2 linked regions of the Tribolium castaneum genome follow. The protein of the gene in region 2 interacts with the protein of the main gene of each other region in a pairwise test. Links are inferred from orthologs where the notes say so. Each region holds a gene or a part of one and is shown on either strand. Other genes may lie near its edges. The genes, in order: eIF3k and G1/S-specific cyclin-D2.

Region 1 (8,407 bases), about 360 kb from region 2:
TTAAAGGAAAAAAATAAAAGTGGTGTTTGAGTAGGTATATCACAGCAGAATAAATGTTTTTGAGCTGAGAACGTTGGCATAAAATATTTCGAAAGATAATTTCTCGTTAATTGTCAATATTTCCTGCAAGCGTTATATCAGATGCGGCTCCATCGCTTGTCCAATAATAATTTCCTATTACGGTCCTGGAAAGGTGGTCAGCTTGGTTGCGAGTGCAACAGTTGTGTATCTTTCGTCGCGTTCCTCCTCGGAATAGACGTATGATTTCCCTATGCCATATAAACTATTAAGAACATTCTCGTTGTAGAGTCCGTGCGTGCCGCGTCCATGTTATTACACTAATTATTTCAGAGAACTGAAATCGTATGAGTTTTTATCGAGTCATGAAAGTGGCCCGACACACAGGAAACCAACGGCGCTACAAAAGCACACAAAAATCCGATGGTTTCACACAATGGAATGAATGAAGCGTATCACTTCTTGTACACAACAGTATACCTGCCCAAATTATTACCTGACGGTCCCGAATTTACGGTTCTCACAACGCTTATTTATTTGCACGACGAATTTTGGAAAACGGACAGAGCTCGACGCTCGTTTCCGCTAATTAAACGATATGATAGAACTTATCTGATCCATGCCCGACACAAATTTATTTGCAATTAGAGGAATTTCCCTCTGTACACCTATCTGATCCTTTCTCTTCGCCGTGAAAAATTTCTCCGAGTTTTTGCCTTTTTCCGAGCCGCTGAGGATGAGTCGACAAAAGCTGCACCGGCGAAAAAATTTCGAGTTAACCGATAGACCACGAAAGGCCAAAGAAACCGATCGAATTCTGGGAAGCGGAAAAAGTGGATTTAAAACAGTGATGTGATTAATGAAGCGCGATGACGAAATAGAAAAACGCCACAAAGCTTATTTACAGCGAAATATCAAAAATCGCGCTCATTGGAATCACTTCGAAATATTTTTTTCGTCCTATAAAATAACACAACAAATTGCAACTTTCCTCGACTAAAGAAAAACATTTTATAAATACTTTTCTTTCCTTTAAGCTTCTTATAGAAAATACCAACCTATCATTTGGTGGTACGAGTACATTATTAAATTACTTCCACAAATTCTTAATTCTACGCTGCATGTCTTCAATCAGGTGTTAGATGCCCCCTTGAGGAATGTTATGACACTCATCCTGTAAGGCATTTCTAAGTTGCCTGCTTGTAATGCATAAAAATGTTGTGGCTACGTGTATCTGAAGCAATTTATAAAAGATAAAAGAAAAAACTGTAGATACGTACGATCTCTGCTTTTTAAACATAAGTTGTAACAAGTTGCACGTGTTTACAATTATTTTTAGAAACAATAAAGCGATAATCAATTCGTAGTATTCAAGTCATTGTCCTGGTGGAAACAAAATATGGGTGAATAAGTTACAGTTAAATATTGAAATAAATTCATAATTATGTAAATCTGAAATCAAATATAAAATATTGTTTATATATAAACTATTTTTCCAAGGTAGTTAACTGTACACTGGAAGAAAGTGCCTCGGTATAAATAAATTGTTATAAATTTAGAAGTATCCAATAAATAAGCTCGCTTTGAAATTAAAATGAGGATTCAAATTCATAAATAGCACTTTGAATATTTTAGTAATTTGTTATTTTTGGTTGAAAACAAAACGGTTTGCGAAATAAAATTGATGATTAATTTAGTGTGTTGGAAAAAATGTACGTATTCGAATCTAATTATGATCACAAGAACAACACGGATGGGGCAGCTTCATATATGGAGGCACGCATCATAAGCTGTTCTAACGGCCGAGATGGCATTGGGATTAATTAGATTCTATCGGTTCGATTAATTTAAGAGTCTCGTATCACGTCCTTATCTTATTTCTTCACATTTCGAAACGTTCACACGTCGAGTGAATCTCCAAACTACATCTTTTTTAAGCTGAAAAAAGTCGTCCGTGCGTGGTAAAAACCGGAAATACCTCCTATAATTTGACCACAATTGTCTATTTATGTAACAATGCAAAATCTAAATACGCTCAATTATGCACAGGGAATGTAAAAAGTTTTATTTCTTTTTAATTACCGACGTCTGAAGTCAGTCTGAGAAAAAGCGTGTAATCTAAAATACTCGTCTCTAATGTAAAATAAATTATAATAAAAATGCACACGAATGTGTCATTATCTTCATAATTACACGGCCAATCACATCATCACCGAAGGGATTAAATTCAGGATGATCCGTAATTACGCTCTCTCCTTCAATAAAACCAACAAATGCAAAATTAATACCAAACTTTATTAACATAATCAAGCATCAAATCTCAAATTTAAAGGGGTGTGGGGCCAATGCGCCAGCTTCCCAGCGTCCTCCAAATGCAGGTCGTAATTCAACTGAACAGCCGTCTCCATTCCCATTATCTTCGAGGCCTTTTTTCCATACAACTTGTCCATCTCTTCCCGCCTTTTTCGCCCAACGGGCCCCGTTTCGGCTTCCACGGGAGCATCTTCAATCTGCCCTTGCTCCTTCACGTAATTCGCATAATCCTCCGTTTGTTTCGCATAAACATTACGAAGGTGTCTAATTAACATTTGATTTTCATATTCGAGGCTCAAAGCCCGTGATTTCCAGTAAGCAACTTGCTCCTGTTTGTGCCACTCAGCGACCTCTGTCGCCGGAGACGAAACAGGCGTCCACTCCATGCCAATAATATCAACCACTGTAATACCCGCACACAAAGCGTCCGCCTTAGGTTTAAATCGTATCGTACTGTAGTACCTCAATAAACTACTTTTTCTGCGAGAGCGCCGGTTTAAATTACTTTTAAAGGACCTGCGGTGTTTTTTTCGAACTCTGGTCTTGAGAGTTTGGCATGAAACACTAGAACTAACCATCTTCCATATTGTATAACTTCATTCGCAGGACTGTACATAGAGGGGGTTCCCATCCGAAACAATCACACGAATACAGATTATTACTTCTGTAGGAGACGAAACAAGATATAAAATAAAAGGAAGAAATTTATATTTTCCTTTAAAAAGTCTGGGAGACCATCAACGGTTTGAGTGCCAAAGATATGGTGTCGCGAATTTTTTGATAGGAAATTTAATTCTTTACAACGTTGTTCCTTACACTTTTTTGTATCTGTAAGCGTATTCGCAGCCTTTTGAAAAATATGGGACACAGTGCCAAAAGTTTTAATTTATTTAAAATATAATTTACGATAAAATTTTTGCATTGTTTGTCTTACTATTGAAATTTAATCCCCAATTTGCTTGTATTTTTTTATTGCTGTGTGTTAACTATTACACAAATGCAACCATTTTTTCAAGTTCATTGCTCTGAAAACTCAAGTAACTGCGCTCTCTGGTGATATTAACGGAACTATCAAGGACGGGGACGATTTATTTGGTCGTTTCGTATCCTAGCATTTAGAGGTCCGTAGACACGAAGTAGTTTTATTTTATTATTGAAAAATTAAAATACAAATCAGCGACATGAAGCCATAATGGCTCCGACATTTTCGAAATCGATTTTCTCGTTAATATTTTTAGTTTTGATGTTTTCGTCTTGATTGGCAATGAAAATCAACTGGCCCTGTTCCTTCCATCCATACTTATTGACCCAGACTTTCAACGTAAGGTCATCAACGTCTCCCAATAATTCGGCCAAATGGGACCTTTCAATGGTCTGATACGTGATTCCAACTACGTGACACACAAATTTCCGGATTGAGTCTAAAAATCCGGTAATTCGTTGGGTCAACTCTGGCATTGAGTGGATTCTGGTCCAGAACAATTGAAAATCGCACTGTTCCAAAATGTCGGCCAAGTAGATAATTTGGTTGATGGGTTCTTCCGCCAGCTAAAAAATGTTTTTTTTTTGCAAAACAAATATATTGACTGAATTTATTAACCTGTCGTTCGTTCAAAAGACATTTGCACAAAATAAAATTCGTGTTTGGAAGGTTTGTCAAAGCCTTGAGCAGGATTTGACTTGTGATGTCGATATTGAAGCTACTAGGGTTAAATTGGTACAATTTAAGGACGGCCAAGTTAGCCTCTAAATCGTAGGCATTTTCGCGCGATTGTATCTCCACGTAGTGCTCCAAAGTCGGTAAATTATCAGGGTTGTACCTGAAAATAGAGGTTAAGTCCAATGCATGGTAAAAAAACGTAATAAAAGAATAACAATACCGTTCAATGCCTTTAAGCATTGCTGCCACAGTTTGTTTCATTGCTTCGGCCATGGTTTTCAATTTGTTTTTCACTAAAAAATGAGAAAAAAGCACAACTTTCTCAAAAAACACGTCTTAATGACGTTTAAAATTCAAAGTTTTTGGAACAGAGGCCGCTGTAAGCGATAGGGAACTGTTGTTTTATGTGTTGCCTACATTTTAACTACAGAGTGTTTCATGTCACTACTTATTTTTTGCGGTTCTCATAGAATTTTATGGATAATTATACAAAAAAACTAAATATCATTCATATTTTGTGATTAAGATAATTACATAAATAAATATAAATTCTATGATAAGATTAGTTGCTATAAAAAGTCTGTGTATACTGTATATAAATATATCAAGCAGTTATTCACCACAAAAACAGGTTTGAGTAATTATAAAGAAAAGTAATATTACGCAGCTACTTTTTAAACTGTACAACTAGTATTATAATAATTATTGCAACTATTGCAAGTCCTATCAGTACCATGAATAGCAACTTGCGCCTATACTTATTCTGATAACTCGCTGCTGTAATTAACTGTTCTGTCGCTTCTTCCACATTGCCAGTTGCATGGTCTATGCTATTTTCAATAGTATCTTAAAAAAAGAGTTGATTAATCTCCCGATTTTTTTAAAAGTTAGCTCAATACCGATTGTTTCCGCTTGGGCGTGCACTAAGGACCCCAATTCGCGCATGATTTCGTTAACATCAAGTACATCGGCTTCAATTTGTTTAATCCTAGCTTCTCTCTCCATGAGCATATCTTGCTCAAACGCCATTTCGCGTGCAAGCTGAGCTTGCCGTTGCTGTTCTGTGTCTTCTTCCGGCGTGTAGTCATTTTCTATGCTTACAGAAACCAATAAATGTGATTTCTGCTTGTTGGCCAAGTCCTTTTGTAAGGAATAGTAGCGCGTGATCGCTTCTTTAAAATTCTCTTCTAACTTTTCTACTTGCAACTGCTGCTGTTTCTCGCTTTTGGATACAAGTTGCTTGAGCTTGTGAATGTCTTTGCTTGTGACTGATGCGATCTGGTTTGTGCTCAATTGAGTGACGTGTCTAGAATTAGGGAAGTGATTGAAATTCCAGAAGGGAAAAGACTTACATTGAACTTCTTAATCCCTGATTGTCTTTTCTGGTTCCGATTGTTTTTAAAGCGTTGTCTAAGGTCTTGAGACTTGAGTTGATTGTGTAAATGTTTGTTACGACGCCATCGCATAAATTATTGAATTCGGGGGAGCGCTTACCGATGAAACCTACGTCAGTGGACGCAGTAGCACCGTAATTGTAGGGATGTTTACTCATTGTTGTCTTCGACGCCCCTTTTCGTTTGTGATTTGACGTTTCGTAAACTTAAAACTGAGGTTAGGAGTAGGAAAGATCAGGTGACTTATTGTTATAACAAGGGGGTGAGTTCAATTGTGGCCTCGGGGATGAAACAAAATTAGCTTATTGTTGAATAATTGAAATACCTCACATTTTAAAAATACATGTTAAAAAAATCACACCCTAAATTATTTTTGTAAATCTTGTTAGGTTGGTGCAACTTAAATTTAAAATTGAAAATTACCGAATACCTACCGATTCGATTTTTATTAAAAAATACTTCAAACTGTAATATAAAAAGATGATAACAAGACCCTACCACATAATCCTGCTATTTTGTAAAAAAAATCTTATTTGTGTTTTAAAAAACATTGCAACACTTGTGTATTGATGGTTGTATATACAGCTTGCTTTTGGATACATTTCCACTTACAAAAGAGTACAAAGCTGTTTGGACTTAATCTAAGAATATTTACCTACTTAAAGAACCTACGTCCTTATTATTATTATACAATTTTAGACCCATCCCACAAAAATCGGAAAAAATACAAAATAAAAGTACAAAAACTGTTTTTGAACAAACAAAGCTGGAAGTTTTAATTTTCTAATTTTGAATTTCTTTAGAACAAAAATAATTTCAATTTTCAAACGCTGTTTGTAGCGACACTAGAAAAACTACGATGAAATATGAGGCCTAATAATCTCTTTCAAACAAAATGCCCGATTTTGCAACATTTTCAAAATCTGGCTTTTGTATGTTTCGAAAAAAAAAAAAAATCGAAAAAATTAAACTACTTATTTCGATGTAAGGTTGTGTAAAATGACTTGGAAAATCGATAGACGTCAAGCAAATTGCAAAATTCTTTATGGTTTTCAAGTTTTTAGAAATCACCACATATAAATTTTACTTATTTTTGCTTTTATTGGCAATTTTCTCAAAAACTGTTAGTCGCAGGACAATGATCTTTTTTTAAAAGGTTATATAATTAAAAGAGCTTTTCTACAATAATAAATAATAGGACTACGTCAAATAATTCGTAAGTTATTCCCGAAAAACACTCTGGGTACCAAAATTTTGACTTTTGAAACCCGTAAAACCCGTATCTTCTGATGTAAAATAAGTTACACTGCTTTACAAAAAAACTAGGAGTAAGTTTTTCAACTTAAAAGATAAACTGAGGTGTGGTTAAATAGATACCAAAATGGCTATAAAAATCCAAAATGTCGTTAAAGCCCAACTTTTATTCTCATAGCTTAAGTACAAGCGAGCTCAAAATTAATAATATCGGATAACACTTTTTTATGTTTCAGTAACGTACCTAATCGTAATATGTAAACATTAATACATTAAAATAACAGACTTCACCATTTTTGATATTAGAAGCAACGAAAAATTAGAGTCAAAAAGTTAGACCCAAAATTTTGACTCATTTATATTCTAAAATAACTATTTTTGATTTTGAACAAAATAATTATCTAAATAGCAAAAAAGTACAAGTTTTTAAATTGTTATTAAATGGGCATTAAAGCTCCAACATTTTCTTAATCCAGTTATTGTGGAACTTATCAATAAACTTCTCATAAACGTTTAAAACATAATAAATAAACTATTTGTTGCTTCTAAAGCTTGGTTTGGGAGAGATGGAACATTTCATCGCTATTTTGCAAATTATTCCTTTTTCTGAAAATAGATGCTCCCTTATTTATCCTTCGTATTCATTTTTCAAATTTTCAAAAATGGTGTGGAAATTGTTAATGAATGATATTCATCGAGTTTATATAATAAGTTTGTTGGACCGGAGACAATGTCATTAACACGGAACCAGTTTTGAAGGAAGTATCTACCTAGTGGCTGCTGAAACTGAAATTTATGTTGCCTTTGCAGCGGCATCGAAAGTAACCACAGTGTTCCCATATTTTTTAAAAGACCTAAACATATTTACAATGTTGTAAATGCTTTTTACCAAGCGATAATATGCTTCCTTTCCGTTCAAACACTGAATTTGATCAAATTTCGCTTGGAAGACTTATAGTGCTTCCCTCGCATGCGGGTTTAAATCACAGGGAAACCACAGCTTCGGTGTAACAATACACTTTCTAAAGAAGTCATCTAAAACTCCAAAACTGCATTTCCACTTCCTATGCACCGGCAGTTGCCTTCTACTACGCAAGCGACTCCGGCTATAATATGGATTGAGTAGGGCGGTTGTTCAAACGCTACAACCTGGGATCATTTCGTGACGAAACGGTCGTTGTGTGACTGCTTTCTTTAACAAACGTGTATTGTACCCGAAATTCCTCCGTGTTCTTGCTTTTTTCGAGCAAAAGAGTGCAGAAAGTGAATCTAGTGAAAGTGGTATGTCGATTTTCGCTTAAAATTTGGCTTTACCGTTTTATTTTTCATTTGGGATTACAGCCCCTTTAACAACAGGTAAGTGTTTTCGGAAATCAGACTCAAAAATGCCATTGGTATGCCGTGGTACAAACCCAATGGGCAAACCCACACGCTTATTCTTTTCCATGCACAATGATTTTGCCAGTTAATAAATTTTACTTATTTGCGTGGGTGCTTATTGCTCACTACTTATCGGTGGTTTTACCAAATAAATATTTTGTGGTTCATCCAAGGAGAGGATTTCGTTCGCTTCAGATAAAATGGGACTAATTTTATTTAGAGTGTCCGATTATCGGTTTAAAATAAAACCACTCGAAAATGGGCTCGATATTTTTAGCGTAATAGAATTTTCATACTCGCAAGCTCAACGTCCGTTGGGCAATTAACCTGCAGAGTGTTGGTAGAGAAATTCCATGAAGACCGTTGAATCAGTCTTGTAGTACGTTAG
Region 2 (9,956 bases):
GATTTCCGGTTACTGCTTAAAGAAAGCTGAAGATTTGTCCGCTAGACATGGAGCAAGAGAGACACAAGCTTCTACCAGTTTTGAGAATCTCCTAACAAATGTGGACAGCTACGAAACCAATTGTAGCAAAACGGACGATCTTAGTCTAAACTCCCTTCTTAAAAATCACAGCACGTTTAAGTTTTCGCGACTGTATAAGTCGGTGTTACTGAAACCGAAGTCGAAACCTGTGGTAAAGCTCAAGACAGCTACTACGTCCATAAAACCAGTGTCAGGGGGCGCAATGGAAGTGAACGTGCTCCCACTTCCAAGACGGTCCTCACACCGGGACACTGAGACTATTGAAATTGATTGTGGCTCTACTTCGCAAGATGGGGTTTCGAAACCAGCGAGTGATGTTTACGATTTGGACGAAGTCACTTCGCGACTACCAAAAAAATTGTCCGACGATACGAACTCAAGTGCTCTAGTGCCGGAGAGAACTTTGAAATGCACACACAAAGACATGCACAACCATAAGAAGACTCTTGTTTTGACCATCAAAGAGGTGCCCAAACGTCGGATTTACTTCGATAAAGACAGTCCGGGGGATGATTTCATTGTGCCACTGCCAAGAGTTCATAAGTTTTGTCGGTGGAGGATGATTTATCTGAATTCCGACTTCAGTTACCTCAACTTTACCAAATCAAACTACTCCATTAAATACACAGATTTGTTGGATGTTGTGAAAATGGCAAGTACGGTGAGATCAACGATAACGCTTCGCAATCAGGAGATCCGACAGTTTTATAAAACTTACACGTTTGGGATTTTTTGCGTTCCTGACCACCAAGACCGCATCTTTGTGGGTCCTTACCTCAAAACAGAGAACCACAATGTTGAAACGTTGAGGTATTTACAAGGGAAGTTGATCGACACTGAGACGTTCAATAAGATAATTGGGAAGAAATTTAACGAACGAAGCCCTGTCTGGCTTTATGAAACGCTACCTCGTAACAGCATACCCGACGGACTTGTGATAGACATAACTGAAGACGATGAGGTCCCTAATGACGTTTCATCAGAACCCTCATCCCGGAATCTGCTTTGTCCACCGTTCGTTACAGCATTAAGTGACGAAGAGTTGAAGGCGAAGCACAGTATTAACAGATACATCGTTACTAATATCCCTTACTTGGGATATTTCGGTGCTTGCCAGCGCGACAGCAAAGAAATTGAGGTCTTTTGGCCCAACAATACAAGAGGTTACCGGTTTCCAAACGTGACTCTTGCCAAAAATTTGTTAATACAGTAAGTAATTCACGAAGATTTGCAATTTTCCAACGTTTGGTTGTAGCTACTTGTCCCAAATTTTCTGCCCCATCCCCCAAACGTTTAAAATCAATGTTATAATAATGACGCAGCTAGACCTAAAGACAAACACGCCGGTCAAAGCCAGATATTTGACCGAACCTGGACCCTTTGTAAGTTAGCGCAAATTTTAGGAAACTATCTTTTAACTTTAAAATAGTTCTGCGGCGAGTTTGGTATCTACGAGAAGGAGAGTGTTCCCGAAGACCTGCTCCAAGAGTGTAACGTGCCGTCGCTCGACTCACTTTTACAAACGTATAAAGAATCTCTAGAAAATGACGAATCAATTGTCAAGTTGTTCGGTTTGTTCCTAATGTCGAACGAGGAGTTGCGGAAGTTCCCTGAGCCCCAACAAATCATACAATGGGTACGTATTTCGTTGCTTTAGCTTTCGTAATGATTTTTGATAGGCGCGGACCGAGATTTACATCCAGGAGAAACTCTCCGATAATTACGAATCGGAAAAAAGCGATTTAAAATCGATGATTAGCAGCAAAATGCAACGAATAAAACTGTTGCGGAGAGGAATAAGAGACGATCAAATGAGCAGTAAAGTGTCGGAAACTATCGAGATTCCGGATTCCGATGATGAAGATCGCCACGTGTCTAAAGTATTCGTAATGCAATCGGCACAAAAAGGAAAAAGTTTTGTGCTGAAACAGAATATATCAGTACTCAAAGAGAAAGACGCCAAACAATCGCCAGTGAAAAACCTCGGAATGCCAGTTGTAAAGAAAGTTATTTGATAATCCAATATTGTTACTTATTGTTGTAAAGAAGCTACCTAATTAATTATCCACACCCACATTGACAATGATTTAAGTGATCGAAGACTGGAACTGGATGTTTGTGTTATTAATTTTTATATATTAGTTTTCTTGTATTTGTAACGTGGGAAGACCCTGCAATAATGTGATTATTAGTGTTTAGTTTCATTGAATAAATTTGTTTACGAGCAAATTGTAGTTTTACTAACCCTTACACAAAATTGACTGATAATTAAAAGTGAATTAAGCGAGATGATAAAGCATGTGGAGGAATTCATGTATGACTAAAGGGGTGACGTGTTGGGGTTGCTGAGGTAAAGTGGTCATGTGTGTGATTCAGTCCATTAGATGCTTCAGAAGGCGGGTGCAAGAATTTAAAACAAACAGTGCATACAAATATTTTTTCTACAACCAAAAGGATAATACGTATGAGGGCCGCGCTAGGTTTTTACGAAGTCTGGGAACAATTTACATTTTGCCGCCTCCTTAGTCTTACTTTTGAAACGTGGGTATAATTTACAATAACTTAACTAGGGTTTTTTCCGTCAAGATTGCTCAAAATTCGGGAAATTGTGTCGAAAGTGGTGTTATTTTTGTATTTTTCGAGCACTTAATCACGTTAAAACTCAGTTTTTTTGACTAAATTAGGTAAAATTATTGTTTATCCTTTTTTTCGAAACGCTGTTATATTTCGTAACTTTAATCAAAAATACGCAGAAAAATTTTAGAAGTAGATATGTCTAATGATGTACTTTTTACTTTTTTGGGGCGTTAAGGTAAAAAATTTCAATAATTTTTTATTTTTGGGCTGTTTAGCATGATTTTTTCAATTCAAATATGCGTTTATTTTGAGGAGTTTCGTCTAAAATAAGCCGAAGACTCAAAATGATATTTGTTTTTCTCTTTTTCAGGGGTTTTACTTTGTTTTTTGGAAACCGATTTATTTCCAAAAGTTACGATAAAATTGCTCTGGTTGCTTTGGCACAATTTGAAAACGCCGTTTATGCGAAATTTTGCTAAACTGAGCTGAAAAATCATTAAATTGGATTGAAAATAAAATGATTTTACAATGTTTGCGTTATATTAACACTCATTGTCATTCACAAACGCAATTATTCACCAAAGTTTCGGTCGTAAATGGTGTTATTTTTGCCTTTTTTTGGCCGCTTTTGAGCTAAAAAATCACAAAACCTGAACGAATATGCCATTATTTTGACGACATATTTGGATAGTTTTTCGTCCAAAAACGTAATTGTTTTGCAAATTTCATGATTTTTTTAAATTCAGATATGCGATTATTATTTTAAGGAGTTTCGTCTCAAAAAAAAACGAAAAGTTAAAATAACATTTATTTTTTCCTTTTTCATTGGTTTTATCTTGTTTCTCGAAGACGGATTTATTTTCAAAAGTCACTTGTTTTGTGTGTTTTAACACATTTCCAGTCAGAAACACAGTTGTTTATTAAAATGTCAAAAATTAATCGAACAACCTTAACATTAGTTCAAAAAGCGCAGCAAGTTTCTAGCATCGAGGCATATTAATTAGATAAAAATGCAGTTTTTGCGAAACTTTGCTAAACTGGGCTGAAAAATTAATAAATTGAATCGAAAATAATATTATTTTACAATGTTTGCGTTATATTAACAAGTTTTTCTTACACAAACGCAATTATTCAGCAAAGTTTCGATCTAAATGGTGTTATTTTTGTCTTTTTTGGCCGCTTTATCGTATTTTTGAGTTTGAAAAATCACAAAACCTGAATCGAATACATGTGGGCCATTATTTCGACAATATCTTGTTTTTCGTCCAACAGTGCAATTGTTTATTGCGAAATTTCGATAAAAATAAACCAAAAAATTGCCAAATTAAGTCGAAAATGTTGCTAGTTTTGCTTTTTACAAGCTTTTTTCCAGTGAAAATATCATTTTTTTACGAAGTGCACTCAAAATATACCAAACAAATAGTTGAATTGTTATTAAAACAAATAAATTAAATGTCTTTATTATTAATAATTTTGTGCAGATAAAAAATGAACTCTAAATTGATGCCTGAAGAGGCCACATAATAAATGGTCGAAACATCTAGCAAATTAAAAAATAAAACTTTAGAAGAAGGACAAAGACGTTTGTATTATTAATTGTTATTCTTTATGAATTTTGAGCCCCCTCCCCATTGATTACTTAAGAGATTGTTTTTTTTATTGTATGCATCAATTTTGACTGTGATTTTGTTAAAAAACAGAGAAAATTACAACATTTATTACTTTAGCAATAATTGTTTTTTTGCTATTTTATTTTCGTATTATTATTTTTTACTTTGCTTTTATATTACTGAGAATACAACTTTTTGTTTTCATATTACTTTAAAAATGTATAATTTTTTGTTTATTTTTGCTATGGTTTTCTTTTTGCATTTTTAAAATGTAAACTGAATTTTTGGAATTTGCGTGTTTTTTTTTTGAATAAGTGAGGTGACATTGTGAAGACGCAAGATCCTCCTCACCTGGTGTCAATATTGATTTTCCTTGACACCTTATGTAGATGAAGGCGATACAAAAACGGAATTCGGATGATGGAGCGCTTATTAAAAATTGTAGCAGATGTTCCTCTGATTATATACAGGTAGACCTCGAAACTGGAAGTGCAGGTCCTTTCCTGTCCACAGCCCAGGTGTCGCACTCCCTGAGCGCGCTTGCGCCTTCCCCCCACGTGCACCATCACAACAATAATTAATTTTCCTTCGCCACCGCTGCCACCAGTTGCGAAAGAACTACAAGAGGCAGAGGAGTAGTCGATCGTTCAAACGCGCGCAAACCACGTGAAGTGTAGTGTCATGGATCTCGCTTGTACGGAAAAAATCACCGCTCCGACCTACGCCCCCAAAGACCCCAACATCTTCAACGACTTTCGCGTCATGAAACACCTACTGAGCGACGAAGTGTTGTACACACCCCACACTAACTATTTTCAAAACGTTCAAACCGACATCGAACCCTTTATGCGAAAAGTTGTAGCGACTTGGATGCTGGAGGTAATTGAGACGTTGCACATTTGGGCGAGGGGTTGGTTATTTCAAATTGGTCGTTTCAGGTCTGTGAAGAACAAATGTGTGAAGACCAGATTCTTCCATTGGCGGTTAATCTAATGGATCGGTTTCTCTGTGTGTGCCCTATCAGAAGGCAGCAGTTACAACTCCTGGGGGCCACTTGCCTCCTCATCGCCTCCAAAGTCAGGAGTACGAATATTTTGCCCATTGACCTGCTCTGTGCCTACACCGACTACAGTGTCACTAGCGAAATGTTGGTGGTAAGTCAGAATTTGTTTAACTCTTGTGTTACCAAATCATCGTGTTAAAATATTCTTCCTCTCGACACCATCCAACAGAGGTGTCTTTGTTGACACGAGTCAATTATTCAATGAACGAATTGTTGATAAAAATAGCGAAATTCGTATTTTTTTCACCCGGAAATAGGCTCTGTGTTATAAATTACTGATGAGAGTTGACATTTGTAACTTTTGACTCTGAGATAAGTTCAAATTGCAGTACGGATTATTTCACTTTCCATGGAATTCTTTTGGTTGCCTCGTGTCAGGAAAGATTCGATCGATCAAAGGAATGCCGCGTCAAGCTCATAAAACCCAATTAAATGTTTTAAAAAACCTATTTTCCTTTTTTCTCTTCGTCGAAATATGAACGATTTCAATGTACAGGCAGGATGTTGTTAGGTCATTTGTCTGGGTATATTTTTTCTACAGTTAAACTAAAACTAAGTCTAATCGGAAAAGATCAGCTGATATTCGGATTGTTTTGCCCACTGTGTAATGATTGGATTGGATTGATTGTCTTCTAACTCGGACAAACGGATTATCTAGAATTACTTTTTACGAAACATTTTTAGTTTTTTATATTAAAAGCTACAATTAAAACAAATTTTTAAATCACCTAGATTTTCGAGTTGATGCTAGGGTAAGCTTTAAAATGCTACAGTAAAACTTCTATTATCCGAAAAAAAAACAAGTGACTCACTTTCGGAACATGCACAATTTAGGTATTCGATATTTTTACTGTGCCTTATTCAAAAAGAAAATTAATTAACTAACATTAAGTAGCTGCGAAAAATGATTTCTTATGTTATCTGAGCACAAGCAATGCTTAAATGTTGTGTGTAGAAAATTCGTAAAAAATGGCATATGGTAGCAAAAAATAAAGTATTTTTAGAGAACTCACCCTTTACAATTACACAGAGTGAGTTAAAAGAATTACATTCTTTTATTTTTCAAAAATAAACAAAATGAAAAACAGATAATTTAGCATTTTTTAAATGGAACGATACCATTTTTTTTTAATTAGAAGCACTACCGATAGGTCTTTACAAGTGTGGTACTTATTTTTAATATGAATGAAGAAACCTTAATATATATTTTTTGAAATCATTGCCACAAAACGACGTATACAATTCATATTTTTTTTATTACAAAAATTATAAACAGGTAACCTAGCATTTTAATTGAGCTCATATTTGACGTGACTGAGTCATGGCGGCCAATATGGCGGCGCGGCACCATAATGTCACAGAATTTTTAAATGGAACGATATGATTTTTCTTTTATAATTGGAAGTTCTACTAGTAGGTCTTTGCAATTGTGCTACTTATTTTTAATGTGAATGAAGCAAACACGAAAAAATTTTTATTAGTAAAGTAAAAAATGTATATGAATTGGCCGCTGTGTTCCAGTTAGGTCAGAATTGAGCTCCATTAAAATACTAAGTTACGTGTTTGGGCATTTTTATTTTATTTTAGAAAAATAACTAAAACATGAATTTTATGATTATAATTTATAAAATATAATATATAAAATTATAAAAATTTCAATTTTTTCCGCGTTTGGTTCACCCACATGCAAAATAAGTAGCACAGTTGTAAAGAACTATTAGTACAGCTTCTAATTATACAAAAAAGGTATCGTTTCATTAAAAAAATTATGATGACGTCTTAGGGCTGCCATATTGTCCGCCATAATTTATCCAGGTAGGTCAGATTTAAGCCTAATTAAAATGGTAAATTACCTGTTTTACATTTTTTTTTATTAAAAAAAAGAATTACGAATTTTATGCGTTACTTTAAACTTTGTATATTTCATTGTTCATTCATTTTAATTAAGAAAAAAATTTTGTTCGGTAACACACCCTTATTATAGTATATATTTTATAGTTTATGTATTTTAATTAAGAACTTTTTTTTAATTCGATAAGTGATAGTCCGGACGACTCTGCCATACCTAATTAGTTCGGTTGATGGAGGTTTTACTGTATTCAGCTCGGAAAAATCTTGATTGTTCACCTCCAAGATTTAACTGTAAGCCCCAAGATTGTGAAATTCAAGTTTCTTTATCTTTAGTAAAAAAATATCGGTTTTTGAGAAACTCGCGTGCATCAAAACAACAAAAATGTTTTTTTTTGAATTTATATTTTTTACTGGTTGGTATAAAATATTTTTAATTTTACTTATCAATAGAAAGATCGATTCAAATATTGACCGAAACATCCTTAACTGATGGGTCGTTTGTACGAGTTTTTTTTCTAGAAAATGATTTTTAAACTTTTTGAAAAACATAGAAGACTTTGGTTTCTCACATCCAGAAACCTAATATTTTGTATTTCCAACACGCATTTGACCTGTTATTTTCAACAGTTTTTGAGAGTTTTTACTTAAAACTAATTAACTTTCTCGAAGTTTGATAAATACACTATACTTGATTAGTGTTTCTTTAATCACAATTTCTTTCTGGTCAAAATAAGTGCCCTTTTAAGGGAAGAAGCAGAGCATCAACCCATTTCGATCATTATCTTGCCAAATAACTTTTGTCGCGCTACCGCTTCGTGCCGTCCAAACATCCGTCATTTCCCATTTCCTTTTCACCAAATCACCACCATACATCTAAGGATATACGAAATTTCTTGATAGTACTAAGACAATACTGCATATATCCGGACCCATTATCTACTCATCTCTCCTCGAAGACATGGCTTGCCTCGAGCGCTCCATTGTCCGGTTATTACTTTGATTGTTGCTTCCGTAAACTGCGACGAAATTCCGACCGCAAATTGGTCGACTAGGTGCAAGCAATCAGTTGGGGTGCGCAACCACCCTGAATCCTGTAGGTTAAGATGATATCCTCGACTAGTTTCACGCTCTCGAATCCTTTTTTACACTCGCTTTAATCGGAAGCTGGATGGGAAGAACCCGAAGCTTTATTTACAGTTCCGGTCCTTTCTGGGACCCTTGTCTGTCCCCTTTTGACTGGTTATTATTAACTTGTCCAAAACGGCCCGGATTGGAATATATCACAAAAGGTGGTGCTTTCTCACACGGGAACATGGGGTGCACAACAAGTGACCTTTGTGACCGTTAATAAAATTATTAGCTCATCGCGCGTAGTCAAGCATGAACAAGACGTGTCGTTAGTGTTTCTCGGGGGTTTTTCTGTATCATTATTTGAGGCAGGATTTTGGGAAGGAAATAGGGGAGAAACGGACGTTTCCCACGAGTTTTTTCCGAAATTTGCAACTTCTGCCAACTGACCTAGAGAGTCTAGACGGGAGACAGACGTTGCTCGAGAATTCAAACTGATTTTATCGTCATCTGCTCGTTTAGATAAAGGAAGAACCAAAATGACAATTTGTGCCAGCAAAAAGTCGACGAATTTTTCGCAACATCTGCACGCATTAATTAATCACAAAACAGCTATTATGTAAATTTATTGCGTCGGCAGTTTGCCCCGACCTTGGCGAATTACACTGCCCGTTTTTTAAATTTAATACATTATTTTTTAATACTTTATTTTATTTTTTATTTGCCTGTGGGAATTTTGGGCCCAACTGGGTCGTGGGTTCCAAACCCGATAAAATCGTGCAGCATGCGCTTATCAGCGCGCATTTTCCGCGTATGTCGCGTTTCCAACGACCACAAATTAGCATTAATTGTGCTGGGGCGACCGCATCGTTGTGACAAATTTGAATGGTCATCTGGTGGCCCCGTGAGAACAAAGCGGAGCAAAATCGTAGCATCTTGGGGTGATGTGCCGTTAAGGAGGGTGTCGAGACAATACCCCGTCTGTGGGAATGTGGGGAGGGGGAGTGAAATGATAATTAATTAAGAGGGTCTTGATACAAGTTTCGGTTTTTATTTTTGCAGAGTTGGGAACTCCTGGTGTTGTCCAAACTCAAATGGAATATCGCCGCGATTACTGGCTTCGATTTCATCGATCAAATCATCGAGAGGTGTTCGTGGGGCGGCGAAAGCAGTTTGTTGAGGAGGCACGCGCACACCCTCGTCTCCATCTGTTACACAGGTAAGAAACACCTGACATTCAGCAATTAACTTCGACGAGATAGCGAGCAAATGAGCCGCTTCCGTCAAAGTACATTAGGAAGTGGAGGAAAAAACAAATGCGTTCGTAATTTCTGAACACAACGGGCGTACTGTTTCACGAATTATTTCGTCAATAATACAAACAATAACAACCAAAAGATCCTAAAAGGATTCCGTTTATCCAATGAAAAATTCGATTGGAGAAGTTGTGTGAAATCATAATTTTTTTACACCGTTCGGAATTAGTAAACGTTAAACCTTAACTTTTCGTGTAGAACAGTAGAACTTCGGTTATCCGGTCTCTTCTTGGGCAATGTTGAAGAATCGAATACTGGCTATAACCCTTAAAAAATTTCAATGAACCATATTAATGCATTTATAACACGTAATCGAAAATGAACTGGCAATTTTGCCACATGGCAAAAATTGAAAGATCAGAATTTAAAAATAATTTTTCAAAAATTGAA

What was found.
Region 1: the proteins of G1/S-specific cyclin-D2 (region 2) and eIF3k interact in a two-hybrid assay, tested with the Homo sapiens proteins (2 studies listed by BioGRID and IntAct). The link is inferred for Tribolium castaneum from reciprocal best matches to the Homo sapiens genes CCND3 and EIF3K.

Annotation. Positions count from the first base shown.
Region 1 is NC_087402.1:8,158,912-8,167,318, forward strand, and holds eIF3k (eukaryotic translation initiation factor 3 subunit K), read right to left. Parts: upstream 4,372-8,407; 5' UTR 4,265-4,371; coding exon 4,212-4,264; intron 4,152-4,211; coding exon 3,932-4,151; intron 3,880-3,931; coding exon 3,505-3,879; 3' UTR 3,460-3,504; downstream 1-3,459. Other genes in the region: gem-associated protein 8, read right to left, coding at 2,325-2,734, 2,907-2,916; Syx13 (syntaxin-12), read right to left, coding at 4,659-4,837, 4,891-5,297, 5,344-5,543. UniProt on the Homo sapiens protein: Component of the eukaryotic translation initiation factor 3 (eIF-3) complex, which is required for several steps in the initiation of protein synthesis.
Region 2 is NC_087402.1:8,521,538-8,531,493, reverse strand, and holds the start of G1/S-specific cyclin-D2, read left to right. Parts: upstream 1-4,817; 5' UTR 4,818-4,949; coding exon 4,950-5,147; intron 5,148-5,206; coding exon 5,207-5,422; intron 5,423-9,312; coding exon 9,313-9,469; intron 9,470-9,956. Other genes in the region: uncharacterized protein ocm, read left to right, coding at 1-1,290, 1,337-1,463, 1,511-1,717, 1,761-2,096. UniProt on the Homo sapiens protein: Regulatory component of the cyclin D3-CDK4 (DC) complex that phosphorylates and inhibits members of the retinoblastoma (RB) protein family including RB1 and regulates the cell-cycle during G(1)/S transition.